4 linked regions of the Arabidopsis thaliana genome follow. The protein of the gene in region 4 interacts with the protein of the main gene of each other region in a pairwise test. Each region holds a gene or a part of one and is shown on either strand. Other genes may lie near its edges. The genes, in order: IBH1, AT4G31985, AT3G02190 and NAP1;3.

The links.
Region 1: the proteins of NAP1;3 (region 4) and IBH1 interact in a two-hybrid assay, tested with the Arabidopsis thaliana proteins (one large-scale study listed by BioGRID).
Region 2: the proteins of NAP1;3 (region 4) and AT4G31985 interact in a two-hybrid assay, tested with the Arabidopsis thaliana proteins (one large-scale study listed by BioGRID).
Region 3: the proteins of NAP1;3 (region 4) and AT3G02190 interact in a two-hybrid assay, tested with the Arabidopsis thaliana proteins (one large-scale study listed by BioGRID).

The regions. Positions count from the first base shown.
Region 1 is NC_003071.7:17,907,039-17,910,789, reverse strand, and holds IBH1 (ILI1 binding bHLH 1), read right to left. Parts: upstream 1,784-3,751; 5' UTR 1,544-1,783; coding exon 1,073-1,543; 3' UTR 580-1,072; downstream 1-579.
Region 2 is NC_003075.7:15,468,018-15,471,282, reverse strand, and holds AT4G31985 (Ribosomal protein L39 family protein), read right to left. Parts: upstream 1,443-3,265; 5' UTR 1,353-1,442; coding exon 1,350-1,352; intron 1,196-1,349; coding exon 1,092-1,195; intron 966-1,091; coding exon 917-965; 3' UTR 550-916; downstream 1-549. Other genes in the region: ASP5 (aspartate aminotransferase 5), read left to right, coding at 78-200, 372-407; AT4G31980 (PPPDE thiol peptidase family protein), read right to left, coding at 2,079-3,265.
Region 3 is NC_003074.8:405,160-408,064, forward strand, and holds AT3G02190 (Ribosomal protein L39 family protein), read right to left. Parts: upstream 1,329-2,905; 5' UTR 1,184-1,328; coding exon 1,181-1,183; intron 1,091-1,180; coding exon 987-1,090; intron 895-986; coding exon 846-894; 3' UTR 597-845; downstream 1-596. Other genes in the region: SP1L3 (SPIRAL1-like3), read left to right, coding at 1-99, 200-298; AT3G02200 (Proteasome component (PCI) domain protein), read left to right, coding at 1,533-1,625, 1,902-2,031, 2,122-2,260, 2,344-2,556, 2,676-2,814.
Region 4 is NC_003076.8:23,030,725-23,036,274, reverse strand, and holds NAP1;3 (nucleosome assembly protein 1;3), read right to left. Parts: upstream 3,827-5,550; 5' UTR 3,658-3,826; coding exon 3,612-3,657; intron 3,530-3,611; coding exon 3,486-3,529; intron 3,358-3,485; coding exon 3,262-3,357; intron 3,053-3,261; coding exon 2,960-3,052; intron 2,828-2,959; coding exon 2,740-2,827; intron 2,652-2,739; coding exon 2,590-2,651; intron 2,502-2,589; coding exon 2,317-2,501; intron 2,185-2,316; coding exon 2,007-2,184; intron 1,920-2,006; coding exon 1,876-1,919; intron 1,730-1,875; coding exon 1,528-1,729; intron 1,432-1,527; coding exon 1,414-1,431; intron 1,045-1,413; coding exon 976-1,044; 3' UTR 582-975; downstream 1-581. Other genes in the region: AT5G56940 (Ribosomal protein S16 family protein), read right to left, coding at 4,075-4,303, 5,131-5,176, 5,264-5,396. UniProt on the Arabidopsis thaliana protein: May modulate chromatin structure by regulation of nucleosome assembly/disassembly. May function in nucleotide excision repair (NER). Involved in somatic homologous recombination. Could be involved in response to abscisic acid (ABA) and to salt stress.

The sequences.
Region 1 (3,751 bases), on a different chromosome or scaffold from region 4:
TGACGAAAACGAATGCACGAATCAGATATTTGATGTGAAATATGTGGAATTGACCAATTTGTCTGTTTACGTACACGTGTATAATAATTGACAAATTAAAGTAGGACACTCGTATGAAATATAAGTATGACCAACTGCATAAATAAGACGTGTAGATAATCCTTCCAACGGAAAATGTGATTATAAAGAAAACAAGTAATCAGAGTCTTGTAATTTTTGTTAATAATGTTGTTGTGAGCGACCATTTGAATTCAATCCGACATAAATCATGAAATGTTAGAGTTATACAAAAAAAAAAATCTCTCTTACCTGAAAAAAGAGTTATACAAAACAAAAAAGGAGTTAAATTATATATATTCTACAAAATTCTTTAACCTATATAATGTCAAGTATTTTTAAGACTTATTCAAGTAACTCCGTGTTAAACAAAAAAAAATCATTTAATTAAATGATTCATAATTCTATAAATATATATTTTTAAAATTATTAGATTTATCATATATTTTCTCAAAAACATAAACAGTCGTATATGTATAGGAGATATATAAATACAGAATGTATATTTTATGATAGTTATAATTCCGCTATAATTTTCTTATAACTAATATGTTATAACTTTATATATATAATCCATCCATAGAAACATCATTGACGAATAACACAATCAAGAGGAACCAAGTAAATTGCATAGCTTAAAAGAAAAGAAGAAAGAAAATTCTCTTAGCATATGATAAGTAATAAATCCCCTTTTATCATATGACAAGGGCAAGTTACCAAGCCCTAATGTTTAAACCGGCCATAGCATATGATAAATAATAAATCCCCTTTTATCAAAATTCAAGAAAAGAAAAAGAAAAAAATCTTTCGTTACTTCGAGACTAATACATATCCACACATTTCATATATGTATCCTATCTTACACGTATGTATATATATAAGAATATATATATATATATATATATATATATACACATATATATTCGTTATGATTACCCCAATCCAATAGACTATGTATGTGTCGTATCTCTATATACATCGATCATTGATGATGATGTTGATGATTAATTGATGATCATTTGGGAGATAAGCCATCAACGAGACACTGCATGACCTTGACCTGCATACTAAGGCACTTGATGTAATGAGCCGTCTCTTCCATCAGCTTTGACGTCTCCATTCCTCCGCCTCCCGGAACAAGATTCCTCAGCCTCTCCGCCGCCTCCTCCACCACCGGAGCTCTCTGGTTACTCCTCCTCCGTTTTGATGATATCTTCCACTTCCTCCTTGAAAATCTTACGATCTTGTTGTCATCTTTGTCTGCTCTACGCAAGAGGGCTCTGCTCCATAGCCGGCTACTCCCTCCGGCTGCTCTGGCCATGGAAACGTACGCAGCCTTCTTGATCTTCCTCACGCGGTAGTTTTTTTGGTCCGGAGTATCAAAAGGGTTTTGTTTTCTGAGATTTGAGAGGGATTGGAGGAAGTGGAAGGCAAAAACGTCCTTTTCAGGGACATCTGTGTTTATGAGTTTGTCTGCAGAGGCCATTGTTTGGGTTTTTTAGAGAAGAGAACTTGAGTTGAGAACCTTTATAAAACTTTTTTTTTTTTGAGAATGACACAATATTAGGGTTAATATAAATGGAAAGGTGGAGAGAGAGAGAGAGATAGAGAGGAATAAATAATGTTTATTTTTCCTTGTACTTAACTTTTCTTTATGTTTTTTTATGTCACAAGACACACAACTATTCAAATTCTCTATAAAGTTTAAATTTAAACTATAGGTTCAACTATTTATAACTCATGTTCTAAAAAAAAAAAGATGTGTTAATAGCTTTGAAATATTGAATTTTGGAGCTTAATTGGTCCGTCAAAGTTACGTTGCGTAAAAATATGAGAATATGAAGTTATAAGTGGCAGTTTTCTTCAATGGTGAACAGCAAATAAATACAGTTCTATGTTTAACTTTGGGGGTTTACTAATATTAGTTCAAATTTTTTGTAGATTCGTCTGTTATGGTTTAGTGGTTTGACATCGATTGCTTACTGGTGGCTACTTAGATGTGTAAATATATCATTATGTGTTAGAATTTTAAAATGAAATGTGAATTGTATAACCCATGTATTTCGGAAAAGTATAATTTACACCTAGTGTTATAAAGTCTTGAATAAATAAATGGGCAATTAGTGGAAAACGATGTTTTGGAGCTTGAAGAAAAAAGTTGATGCCAATAGATTAACAGAACTTGGCTATTTTGGGTATATATATTTGACTATTTTGAAATTTGAAATATTAATGTATACTACACCCAAATACAATATATATAGCATTAATGCTCGTATACATCTTAGCTAAAACAAAATAATAATTCGGATGATGTTTAAGTACTAGACGCAAATTAATCAAGCTCGTTTGGTTCATAGCTTGGTATTAACGGAAAAAAGAGCAATTTAGAGCAGACATCAGATTATGGAATTAGATTCCAACCACACTATTATGTTTATTTGTTTGTTTTTATAAAAGGTTAATTTAGTGACGAATGCGTATGAATTCATTAACGTGAACAGCTAATAGAGACTATTATGATAAAATTAGGTAAGCTATATACATATATGTATGTATTTATGTTAACATTAGTTGACAACTAATGACGATTAAGATGGAATATGATCGATTGTGGAAAACATATAAGCTCATTTTCAAGGCAAAAGAAATAACAAAACCCAAAATATCAATTTAATTGATTCATTACTTGCTCGATATTTACTTCCACAAACAAAATTCAGCCAAAATCCAACTCTCGTGAAACGACTGATTGAGGATGTTTATTCGAAACTGAGTTTGAACTATACGTTAGTTTAGAAAGTAACACCATTGAACCTGAGAATAACTATGATTATTTCGACGATATAAAGTGTTAATAAACTTAATCAATTAGCCACTCGCATCATCAAGATAAAACGTGTTTAAAATTGATCAGATATATAACAAAGTATTCACCATGCAAGAGAGCAACAACAAAATATGAGATTATTCAATTGGCTTGACCAATAGATGACGTTACAATTTATATACACCAAATATTACTAACCAATTTAGAAAAGACAACACATGAAAATATAAAAGAAGAGAAGAGAGACTTGAGGAATACGATAAGTGTTTGGTTAAGGCTATAATTTAGCATTAGTCCCATCTCTTTTGTGTTAATCACTCTCTCCCCTACCGCTTTGCCGCCGGACGTATTTTTCACGCCATTTAATTCTTTTGTATAACATCATCATGATCATATTTATCTTTTTTCAAGATTCAGCTCCAAAATCCCTTAAATCTCACTGTTTTCTCTAAGGTTTCAAATTTCACATCTATCATAAAAATACGTTTAAAGATTAACAATTTCGGGTCAATAACAATTTACAAAATTGTTGATATTAGGAGTGAAACCAAATGAATAAGAAGGTGTTAATCATATAATAAGAACTAAAAAAGAGTTGAAGAAGTGGTAGAGTAGGTCCACTAATGGGCCAACCACCACATGAAGGCACATGGCTATGGCCTTTACCCACCTCCACTTTCCTTTCTCTCTTATCTTTATCTTTAATTTTTTTTTGTTCTAATTATTCAATTAATATTAACTACACCATTCGTTTTCTTTGATTCTCTTCTTAATTTAATAATAAGTCGTTGGGGGCGAATAAACTTTATCATACTAGTTGATTAAAATATCCCAACTAAAAATGTAAAACAAAAACAAAAGAAT
Region 2 (3,265 bases), on a different chromosome or scaffold from region 4:
ATACTACACAGATTCCCTTTGGCCTTGTTTAGACTTGTGGTTTGAAGTTTGTGCTGTTTTCTTTTGGTAACGAGCAGAGCGATAACATGACGGACAAATGGCATGTGTATATGACTAAAGACGGGAGGATATCATTGGCCGGATTATCTCTGGCCAAATGCGAGTATCTTGCTGATGCGATCATCGACTCATACCATAACGTAAGCTGAGCTTCCATCTCAGTAGATGACAATAAGAAACAGTTTTATATACCCTTTTTAGCTTCTTCTTGATCTTTGATTGAAACCAGATGGCTAAATTAATAAGCTAGCATCACACTATGATTGCTAGACAATTTTCAAGGAAACTTTTGATTTGATCGTGTTTGACAGGCCTTGTTGTATTGGGAGACTCCCATCGAGTTATAGAAGAACTTGTTACGATTGTATTTTACATAATTTCACAACTATACTTGACCGGAAGAGTTACAACAGAAATGATCAGATTGTACAGTGTGATCTATCTTAATACCAGTGCAATTCCACATTGTCTGCTATAAGAAGCATCGACTCACTATCACATTATCAAAAGATTCAAAACCACTAGATATTAAAACCAGTACAATTACTAGCAAGAAATTCTAAAGCTTCTAGTTCGCAAGTAGATGATTAAATTTAAACCCAATCCAGATTCTAGGTTGCGAGAAAAAATTCTTAAGAAACAACTCTACATGGAAGCAAACCAAGAGATACTTCAATAGTCAAATCACACAAATGTTAAGAAACAACTCCCAATACGAAGAAAATTTGGTAACATGAATCATAATAGAGTAAAAGTCTTACAGAAATATGAAAATGTCATAACTTAAAACAAAAAGAAGACTTGAGGAAATGCTAAACCAAACAGATAAAGAAGACTCTTTTAGAAGGCTTATCACTTAGAATCCGAGCTTGGTTCTACGCCAGTGCCTGCGCTTGGCATTGTACCTGAAATTAACCACACAATGAAATCAGTTTTAGAACTAAATCGATCAACTAACACAACTAAATATATCTTCAATTTGATAGATCAGGGAATAAACAATAGACAAAAAAAAACAAGAATAGTCGAACCTGATGGTGTTGTCGGTACGAAGACGAATCCAGTGAGGAATAGGCCTGTTCTGTCTCATCTTCTTTCCCAACTTCTTCTTAATCATAAACGACTTGTGCGACGGCTGTTACATTTCATTTTTCCAACACAAATCAAAATCACTAATTTCGTTTCGATATCTAACTAACAACAAATCAAACTCTTTAATCAATCCAAACAGGCGAAACTAACAAACGATTGTAACAAAGATTAAAAATTTGCGAGAGAGCGAGACTAACCATCTTGAAGTCGTGAGATTCGCAGCTGCTCAGCGAGGCAAAAAATACGAAGAAGAGGCGACTAACCTTTTTAAGAAGTTAAAACGATGAAACCCTAGTAAAGTCTTCTTTATTGGGCTTTTTATGTGATAACAGTCTTTTTAGGTTTCATGTTTCGGCCCAAGGCCCATGATTTTTAGTCTTGTAGCGAAACGTCAATTTTTTATTGGTCACGTTCCCAAGTTTGACACTTCTACACTCAAGAAGTCAACATTTCTTACAACGAAATTTCCTGTTGTAAGATTTTGGGGGAAATGGCTGTTCTACGAAAGCTCTGATATAACCTTTTGTACTCTTATTGATTTACAAATGTTTGTACTTGCTCGTAGGACGTGATTGATCCTAGAGCAAGCTTTATGTCTCACATGTCTGTGAAACAAATAGCTGTTCTTTTCTATCACTGATTTTGACATCTGTAGGCTCTAAAAACACACTACTTCTTCTTGCAATTGTACATTGTGTGCTTAATAGGTTCCAATCCTAGTTTCAAGCATCAGTTTTAGTCACTTTAGTTATTTACTATATAATTTCTTTGTTTGCGTATCTTGCCTGGAACTGTTGTTAGTGTCACTTCTACACCAACTGGTTCTTTTAAGCAGTGCCATCTCATGGATCATTGTGAAACCAAAGATAATTTTGACACATTAAGATACAGAGCCAAATGTTTAGTTTTATTGACCAATAGACTTATTACAGAGCCAAGATAGAGCATACGGACTGTATGAAAGTGAGAAGGAGAAGAAGTAAAGCTGCAAAAACAGAAGCAACTGCCCAAGGATTGTGGAAGTAGTCACGTCTCAGAATCGCCTTCCACCTGTTCCATGGTGTGTTGCAGTAAGCTTGAAGGTTCTCAGAGAGCATCGAAAAGTAGAATCTTCTGTCATAGATAACCTCTTTGCTGATGCTATTGAACAAGTTTGAAACATCTACTGAGTTCCCGAGATAGTTTACGATGATCCCACTGTGGATGAGCAAGTCAGCATCTGTAGGGGATTTAATGAAGCAACCGAGCAGCATGATGTAGTCGAGGAAGTTTTTATTTGAGCAACGACATTGTTCAAACCCAATGATGTTTTTGTAGAGGGATTCCGTGAGATCATCGACGACAATGGTTGGAATCTTCAGTACTCCATCAGCAAAACTAATGTCAAGTAAACAACTACTGGTCTCTGCTGGCTTGAACCTAACACCAGCAGTGTGAAGCTCTGTTGCTTCAGGTGCATTGTCCACTTTCACTGTAGTGTATTCTAATTTAATTGGAAACTGTGGCAGATAACAAGACCTCAGAAGATCAACAAAATGTTCTGGCTCTGTAATAAACTTCTCATCATCAATGCGGCTCAAGAAATAACTGAAGTGGCGTTGCGCGAGCTGTATGATTGAAGGTGTTCCTTGTTGGTAGTAATTCAACAAGAGAAGAAATATCTCCTTCACAACGAAAAAGGGTAACTGATTTTCTATCAAAATCATGTCACGGCACACGTCGGTGATCATCATTGAATTGCCAAATATGCGATCATTCTCGCCTCTAAGTCGAGGATAATGAGACCTCAAAAGAAGTTCAACCAAGAAGCTACCATCTACAACTAACATCTCAACAAACTCATCGCTATGAAGTTTCACATCTTCTGCATAACAGCTGCGAGCATTTTGTTCCCAAGTCCTAGCAAGTCTAACAAGGTCCTCTAGACTAGAGTTCGTTCTAGGGATAAAACTCAGCAAATACCTGTATTTCTGATCTTCCATAGCTTGAAGCTCTTCTTTACCACGATGAAGCGGGCCAAAAGACACAAGCCGAGGCGTATATGCATCAGGATTGAGTCTGCGGAGCTTATTAGGTACCTTGTATATACAGCATTTGGTGGAAAGAGAAGATA
Region 3 (2,905 bases), on a different chromosome or scaffold from region 4:
ACCACAGTCACTGATAACAAGAAGACATCTGCAGGTGTTAGAGGAAGTCCTAATAATTACTTCAGATCAGAAGGCCAAAACTGTGGAAACTTTCTCACGGTAACAGGAGATCTTTAGTCTTTACAAAGTTTTGAGATCAAAGAATTGACTTTTGATTTGGAAACTGATAAAAACCAAAAATGTTTGTTGATGAGAACAGGACAGGCCATCTACTAAGGTTCATGCAGCTCCTGGTGGAGGATCTTCTCTTGATTATCTGTTTGGAGGACCAAGTCCTGCTGGATCTGGAAACAAATGAAGTTACTTGTAGTTTTTTTCCCACTATTCAGATTCGTGTAAATCATCAAAAGTGTTGGCTTTTATCCCTTAGTGAACCCTGTGTGATTCAATTGTGATGTTTGCCTTTTGTTCTCTTCTTTGTCTTGTTAAAAGGAATTTTCAGACAATGTTCTCTTTAAGAGTTCCAAGAAAATAAACTAAGTACTGATCAACCAAGAGATCTATATCAAATGAAACAAACAATGCCCACAAGATCTTGCGTTGAATCAGCCATGTTCAAAGCTCTGATCAATCGTAGGAGAAATGATTCGAATTCAGCCATATACTTACGTTTTATCATAGAGTAGAAAGAAACAGAGTCAAATCAACGACCAATTGTAGGAGAAAGGATTCAACTATTATAATTCATAATCATGCACTCTTCTTCAAGTTCTAAGATTTAAACATAGCTATAAGCCACAAAATCCTTAACAAAAAACTAAAACTTTTAGGGGTCAAAGACCACAATTCCGATACAAGAAAGCAATTAAGAAACTCGGACGAATCTGAGTCACGGTGAGAGTGCTCTAGAATCCTAGCTTGGTACGGCGCCAGTGCCTACGCTTAGCGTTGTACCTGTGTGAAGGTGATGGAACAATGGAACTCAGTATCAAAGTCTGCAACTTTTTCACGGATCGAATGAAAAAAGTTTACGAAAATCTATAAACCTGATTTTGTTATCAGTACGGAGACGGATCCAATTAGGGATCGGTCTGTTCTGTCTCATCTTCTTCCCTAGCTTCTTTTTGATCATGAACGACTTGTGCGACGGCTAATATCAGAGACCATGAAATCGATCAGGCGAAGGAAATATTTAAGAGAGATAGAACAAAGGATACAGAGAGGGAGAGAGTAAAAGTACCATCTTGACTTCAACGGTGGCGATCCGGCGGAACACGGCAGCGTTTAAACCCTAATCTTCTCAAATGTTAACTGAGGAAGAAATCGATTTTTATAAGGGTTGTGGACTAGAGCTCAATCCTGACCGTTGGAGTTTTCTCATAATTTATTAGCCGTCAGATAGGTAAACCGTTAATTTAGGAATCGTATTCGGTTCCGGTTACCTTTAACCGGAAAAGAAAAAAATATAGAGATTTAGGGTTTCATTTTCTTCTCTCTCTCTTGTCTCTGCTGGTCGGCTGCTGAAACAAGTTGTAATTGTGGTGCATTTGTTCTTCAGCGCAGCCGAGAAGATTCGAAACCGGAGCTAAGCTATGACGACGATTGTTCCCACCTCCGAAGAAAATCCCTTTCTCGCTGTTGTCCGATTCACTTCCCAGCTCGCCTGGGCCGATGCTGGTCCCGAGGTAACCTCCACACCTTGGTTGTGAATTTATAGTGGGAATTTAAGAATGTCTATCTTAAGTGAGATGGGAAATTTGATCTGGTATATGTTGTTTCGTTCGAAGAATCTGATTGGTTATGGAAGGGTTTGTTGATAGTTTCTGGACTAGAATAGTTTGTAATCTTTGAGGATTCTGATGCATCCGATTAGTTCAACCATCTAAGATTAGTTTCATTAAGCGACTTCTTAAGTTTTCAAGGCTTGCCTGTACTTAACTAGTTATCGTTTCAAATTTTAGGCAGCAGAGCCAGAAATTACCAGGCTCTGTAGGGAGGCTGAGGAGTCAATGGTAGCAGAGAAGTGGCTTGAATTGTCTTCGTTAATGGTCACTTCAGCTGAATTGGTATCTTCTAAGATATCTGAGAAAGGTTTGTGTTCCTATTCTTACTTATACCTGTTTATTTTGTATGTCTTTCGAGTATTCAATTCTCAGTGATTTGCATCTTTTTTTAATTCAGATCTTGAGTGTACCTACACCATCATTTGCAGCATTGTCAAGAATGCGAAAAGCCCTGAGCAAGTCCTTGAAATGGTGAAAGCTATAGCTTCCAAGGTTGCTCAACAACCCAGTGACAAAGCTTCACTTCGTTTGAAGATGTATGAATCGTTTCTGCTTATTTCTGAATGCTTTGCTCATTTATCACACTTCTCATTTTTTTTTTGTCTTAATCTTTGTGTAGCCTCTTCAATCTCTATAACCTGGTTGACCACCCGTATGCTCGATTTCAAGTATACATGAAAGCTCTTACACTAGCTGTTGATGGGAAGGTTACTGAGTACATAGTTTCTTCTTTTAAGAAGATCGATAACTTTCTGAAAGAGTGGAATATTGACATTAAAGATCAGAGGGAACTCTTTCTTGCCATTGCTAATGTGCTGAAAGAAAACAAAAGGTATTGAAACATAATTTATACTTTATAACTATGCTCATCAGTCATTCTCTGTCTCTTTCTTTTTTTGTTTCCGTTTGGGTATAACAATAGCCTCATGGTTTTTTCTATTAATACTCCAGCTTGGTGAATGAATCCCTTAAGTTCTTGACGAAGTACCTAGCAACTTTCTCCAATGAGGATGCTCAGGTCCTGGATGAAGCCAAGGAGGAGGCTGTGCGTGCAGTTATCGAATTTGTCAAAGCTTCCAGTATTTTCCAGGTATCATAATGTGAATTGGATTTGTCTTTCTTGTCCTGACACTGCTCTTTTATATTTGATTGGAATTTCAACGATGGCAATCTTAAATCTT
Region 4 (5,550 bases):
ATTCAGATCAAATAGCACTAAAAGCAAAAAAAATAACTAATTGACTAAATCATGCTTTAGAAAAAATTAATCACGCTTAAACAATACTCCAATATAACATTTATAGTCAATGGACGACAAAGCTGTAAAAAAAAAAAAAGTCAATGGACGACAAAGATTTGAAGTCAATAGTTTGATAACCTCAGGGTAATGTGAAATGATTCATTAGCACTAATTGTATTTGTAATTAACTGATAAAAGAATCTTCAGTCCTTGAGAGGACATGATTTGTTACGGTGAAGCAAAATATTCAAAAACAAATACGCATTAATCCAAAACCGTTGTTTGGTAGAATCAGCAAATTCCATTTGGAGTCAAAATCAACTATTAAAACAAGTACATATATTTTTTTCTGTATATAGAAAGAGTCCCTTTCGTGTGCATCTTTGATTTTAACGTTTACTATTTAAATGACTCAATTAATTGATTTATTAACGAATAACGACACTCACTAATGCTAAATTGCTAATGGTCACGGTGTGTGATTAATTTGACTTTGACCATAATGAAATACTAATCGACCCATTGAAGAAGAAACTACATGAAAACAAATTTCTTTCTGTTCTTTTTTCTTGGTTTACAATAAGAATAATACACTTATGTCCACACAAAAAAAACAATGATAAGATTTATTTATTTTTAAATTAAAGAAACCAAAAGAGACTTAATTCAAGTGGTAAAAAGATATAATTTTGACGAACACACCAAAATTCAACTTAGTGATTAAAAAAAAAAAAAACAAATGCACCAAAAATAATTTATCAAGTATCTCCACATGGAGAAACTCACTCTTTTGCCTACAGCAACATTCCTATGAGCAGTCTTCAAAACATTTTGCCTTACATGGAAGCAAAAAACTAGGCCATGAAACTTCACTCAAAACCCAAAACATTTGTTTTTCTTTTACTGGTTTTCGTTTAGACTTTTCGATTTTGTTTACTGTTGTTTGCATTCAGGAGGCCTCTCTCCTTGTTGATCATCGGTAACCTGAGGTCTCCCTCCTTTCTGCAATATGATTTCAAAAAGAGTATGACTATAGAATCCATCTCATTATCACAAACATAGCACAATGGTTTGCAAGTACTAGATTTAGCCTAAGCTTATAAATATGCATGAGAAGGATTCTACATAGTTTCATTTATAATTCTCAGTCATATAAGAGTTCAAGTTTCTATGATTCACAGATTCGTGCATAGTGAGCTTAATCAGTTAATTTCAGCTATCTCCTAATTCACGGGTCATGTTCTCTACTTTTTAGATCATGGTCTAGCCTATAAATGTCAATAGTTTATGACCGTTGTATGACTCATTGGTATCGGATTATCTAATTAACTCAGACAAATACTATAAGAAGGGTGGAATATGGCTATGTACCTTGTGTAAGACTGATGGCTGCATAAACATTCAACACAATATCAAAAAGTTAGTAACTAACTCAGAAAAGGTAATTCCATGACAAGAAGAAATGAAACAAGAGGAATCCAATACCTTCTTTTTGGTCTTGCTTACTTCTTCCTCCTCATCTTCGTCGTCTTCTTCCTCATCTTCGTCTTCATCTTCTTCATCCTCATCTTCATCCTCATCGATATCATCTTCATCGTCATTGTCTATTTCAAACTCCTCTCCCTCAATAGCCTCACCAGTAAACCATGAGACAGCATGAGGTATGATCTTCTCCCGGATTGTAGAACTGCAAGAAGCAAGGAATACTTGAATCAGATACTAAATAATGTATTAACTTTCCGATAAAAGATGCTAGCTAGAGCTCTTATACAGTTGGTAATAAGTTAGACGGAATATATTAAATTGACAGAGTTTATGTTCAAGAAGACGAACCCAATGTCATAATCTTGTTCCATCAGATTCTGAAGTTCCTCGGCCTGCACCAAGAACAGAAAACATTACTACAAAAGTATAATCAAACATAGTCAAAATAGGGCCTGTCTTAAAACCAAATGATATCATACTCTTTCTTCGTCAATGTCTTCATCATCATCAGGAACTTGGGGAGGATTGAAGAAGTTGAAGAAGCTTTCACAATCTTCAGTTTTGGTAATTGGCTTGGCATTCTTTGCACCTTTCTTAGGCTTCTTCTTAAGAATCTTCTGAGTTAAGCATTTTCCAGGATACCAATCAATCTCTGTCCTGAGACAAAGAACAAAGAATCAAAATCCATGTTAGTGCATAAGTCAGTACAAGATTCCGCAGCTCCTTGGAAGAATCTCAGAACAAAATATGCTAGGGAATAAATATTACAAAAAAGTTATCAACAATTACCCAATAGCCTTCTCAAGCAGAGGCTCATCTTCATCAATCATATGATACGCCTTTGTTAATAGGGTGTTTTTGAAGTAAGGATTCTGGTCGAAGAAAAACTCAAGTTTGAATCCCTTTGGTTCTTCAATCTTGCACCACTTGATATCTTTAAGATATATAAGGGCTCCTTCATCACGCTCTGTGATCTGAAATCAAAAGAAATTAAAACTCTGGTCAATTTCCATGGATATGATTAAGTAACTCTAAATGAACAATCATAGATGTAACACCAACCTCTTCAGATATAACATCATTATTTTTCAGAGCAGTCAGCCAGAAACTAGGGACTCCTTTCTCTGCAATCCAGCCCGGTGAAATAAGCAAATTGTTTTTTTCTTGCAAGAATGATTACAATTTACAAAGGCAAAGAGAGAGAGAGAGTACCTTCTGCAGTTTTCTCGTCTCCTTGGTCCATCTTAGCATCCTCTGGAGCCCCTTCAACTTCAGTAGCTCCATTCACAATCTCATAACGCTGCACATTCCAAATGTCAAGCCAGTGTCAAGAGAAATTCGAAGCTAACTAAAGCCAACACAGCTGGAAATAAAGAAAATACAGGATAACTAAATTTTTCAAAATAGTTTAATCTTGCTACAACCAAATTACCTTGTTATACAAAGGCTGATATAACTTTTGATACTTGGCTTCAAGAGCAGCTCTCTCCTCGCGGAATTTTGTCTCTATTTCATCATGTTTGCCCTAAAAAACGAAAAGGATTCTCAGATAATCATCAAAAGAATGCACAGCATTCTCATATAATCAAAAGCATACAAATATACATTTCAACATCATACTCACAAGATACCATATCAATCTACACCAATCTATTGAACAAAAGCTTATATAGGAAACGTTAATCACAACATAAGCATAGAGCTCATAAAAAGTGAATGGAAGTTTTCCCAAACCTGAATCTCCCGCAAAACCTCAACACGCCTTCTAATTTTAGGAGTCAGATTCTCGAGCACATCAGAATGTTGTCCAGCTAGATTCTGGAGCTTGTTCTGTGAATCAAACACATAACAGTTACAAAAAAATCTCCACAGAAACTATAAAATGACGAAACGCCCAAATTACATGTTCCTCTTCAAGTATAATGCAAATCGATATAAGAAGAGATAGAGAAACTCACCTTAAGAGCGTTGACAAGACCAGCTCGATCCTCATCTTTAAGAGCTGCAAACAAACAAAAAAGCTTCTAAAACTTTGACTAAGAAGAAGCAAAGCCGCAGAAACAAAATCGGAGATATAGATTTACCAGAAGTGAGATCGCTGACATTGAAACTGTCCTTATCGTTGCTCATTTTCTGGAAATTTAGAGATCAAAACTGAAAGATTTGAGAAGAAAAAGGATTGATTGAGAGAGAGTGTGAAGAAGGTTTGAAAAGAGGTGGAGAGATTGAGGAAGAAGAAGAAGACTTGAGGGTTTTTTCTGGGTGGCGACTAAACGCAAAACGTGGCTTCCTCCTTTATAAAATTTAAACCTAACAACTGCCATTCTTTTTTTTTTAATTCCCTCGCTGGCATTTTTATTTACTTTTTCATTTTTTAAAATCTAAAATATCCCAATGCAAAATATGTGCCGTTTCTGCAAAAAGTGCCAAACACCTTGCCGTTTATCGCCAAACAAAGGAAACAAGTCAGTTGTCTAATGCTGCATTACACAATATAATCGACAACAAAGTGAACTTGAAAAGCTACGATGACAGAAGGCTAATGAATCATGCACTCTTGGCTTCTGTATCCTCTTCCTTAGGCTGGTTATCATTGGCATTAACTGTTTTATTCTCTGCATCCACATAGCGACCAGTCATCGGATCAACTGGGCGTGTGTCTCGTGCTCCACCTTTACGTCCCATAGCCACCATTGGAGGAGGAGGAAGTAAACCGGATCTGAATAGGAGACGTTGAACCGGGTCTGATGGCTGAGCACCAACAGATAACCAGTACCTGTACAGAACAAGAGAATCAAACAAAATGTCCATTAATCAAACTATATGCATCCTCTGTTGAAACTAGTCATTCAGAACAAAAGAAAGACAGACCAGGATCTAACTTTTAAGTAGTCTTGACATGTGTTCTTCTAATATCCGGACATTATAATCTTAATTTTAGATGATGATAAAGAGCATGACAAGATTCTAAAGCTACATGACCATACAATTATGCAAAAGAGGTTGTATATGGTGAACAATTAAGAATGTAAGTAAGTGTGTATACGAATAGATAATCAACAGGTTCTTCATCTTACACTAATAAGAAACAATTCCAGAACTCAGAGCAGAAGTTCCATAGAAAGACTCAAGACTGGCGGAGAAGTTTCATTTGTTATATAACAAAACTTGTTGATGAATTTCCACAAATATTTCAGTTTTTCCTTTCATAAGTTAGTGATTAAATGAGGTAGAAAATTGCTTCAACTAATGGTTCAATACCATGAAGAGAAAGAAAGTGATCAAAACCAACCATGGGAAACATGTAGATTCATTCGCCTTTCGATAACAAAAACCATTCAAAGACTGAACTCAGCTCCTTTGTATCAGATCGAAAGATAGTTAACTATAACACAATGTTGACTATACAACAATGCATTAAGATATCTAGAGGCGGCTAGAAGCTAACTTTAGCAATTAACCAAAACACTTCAAATGCAGAAAAGCCTTAATCATCTAGTGAAGCATTCAGAGACCTCTTTCTGAGTAAATTCAACCCAAAACCTACCTGATTTTACCGAAAAAAACATAAGAAACTAGAGAATTAGATGAGAAGAAACATACTTAATTCGATCGAACTTGAGACCCATCCTCTTACCACCGTCCTGGCCTGAACACATAGACCAAGAGATCGTGTATTTTAATCGAAAACTCTACGAACAACACCAATTGGAATACATTTTGTTTTGTCAATCACCTGGCAAAGGATTGAAGTAACCTAAGACCTCAAGATGCTTCCCGTCTCTTGGAGATCTGCTATCAGCAGCCATAACCCTAAAAAATGGCCGATTTTTGCATCCAAATCTCGACAGTCTGATACGTACAACCATGTTTCTCCTCCCTTTTCACCGGAAAAAAATCGAAATGATCAGAGCTGGCTAAGAGAGATAGAGAGAGTGAGAAATTCCAATTTCGAAAACTCTGAATCCATAAATCTTTTAGGGTTTGGATCCTTATTACGACGCCGTTTGTTGAAGGATTCAT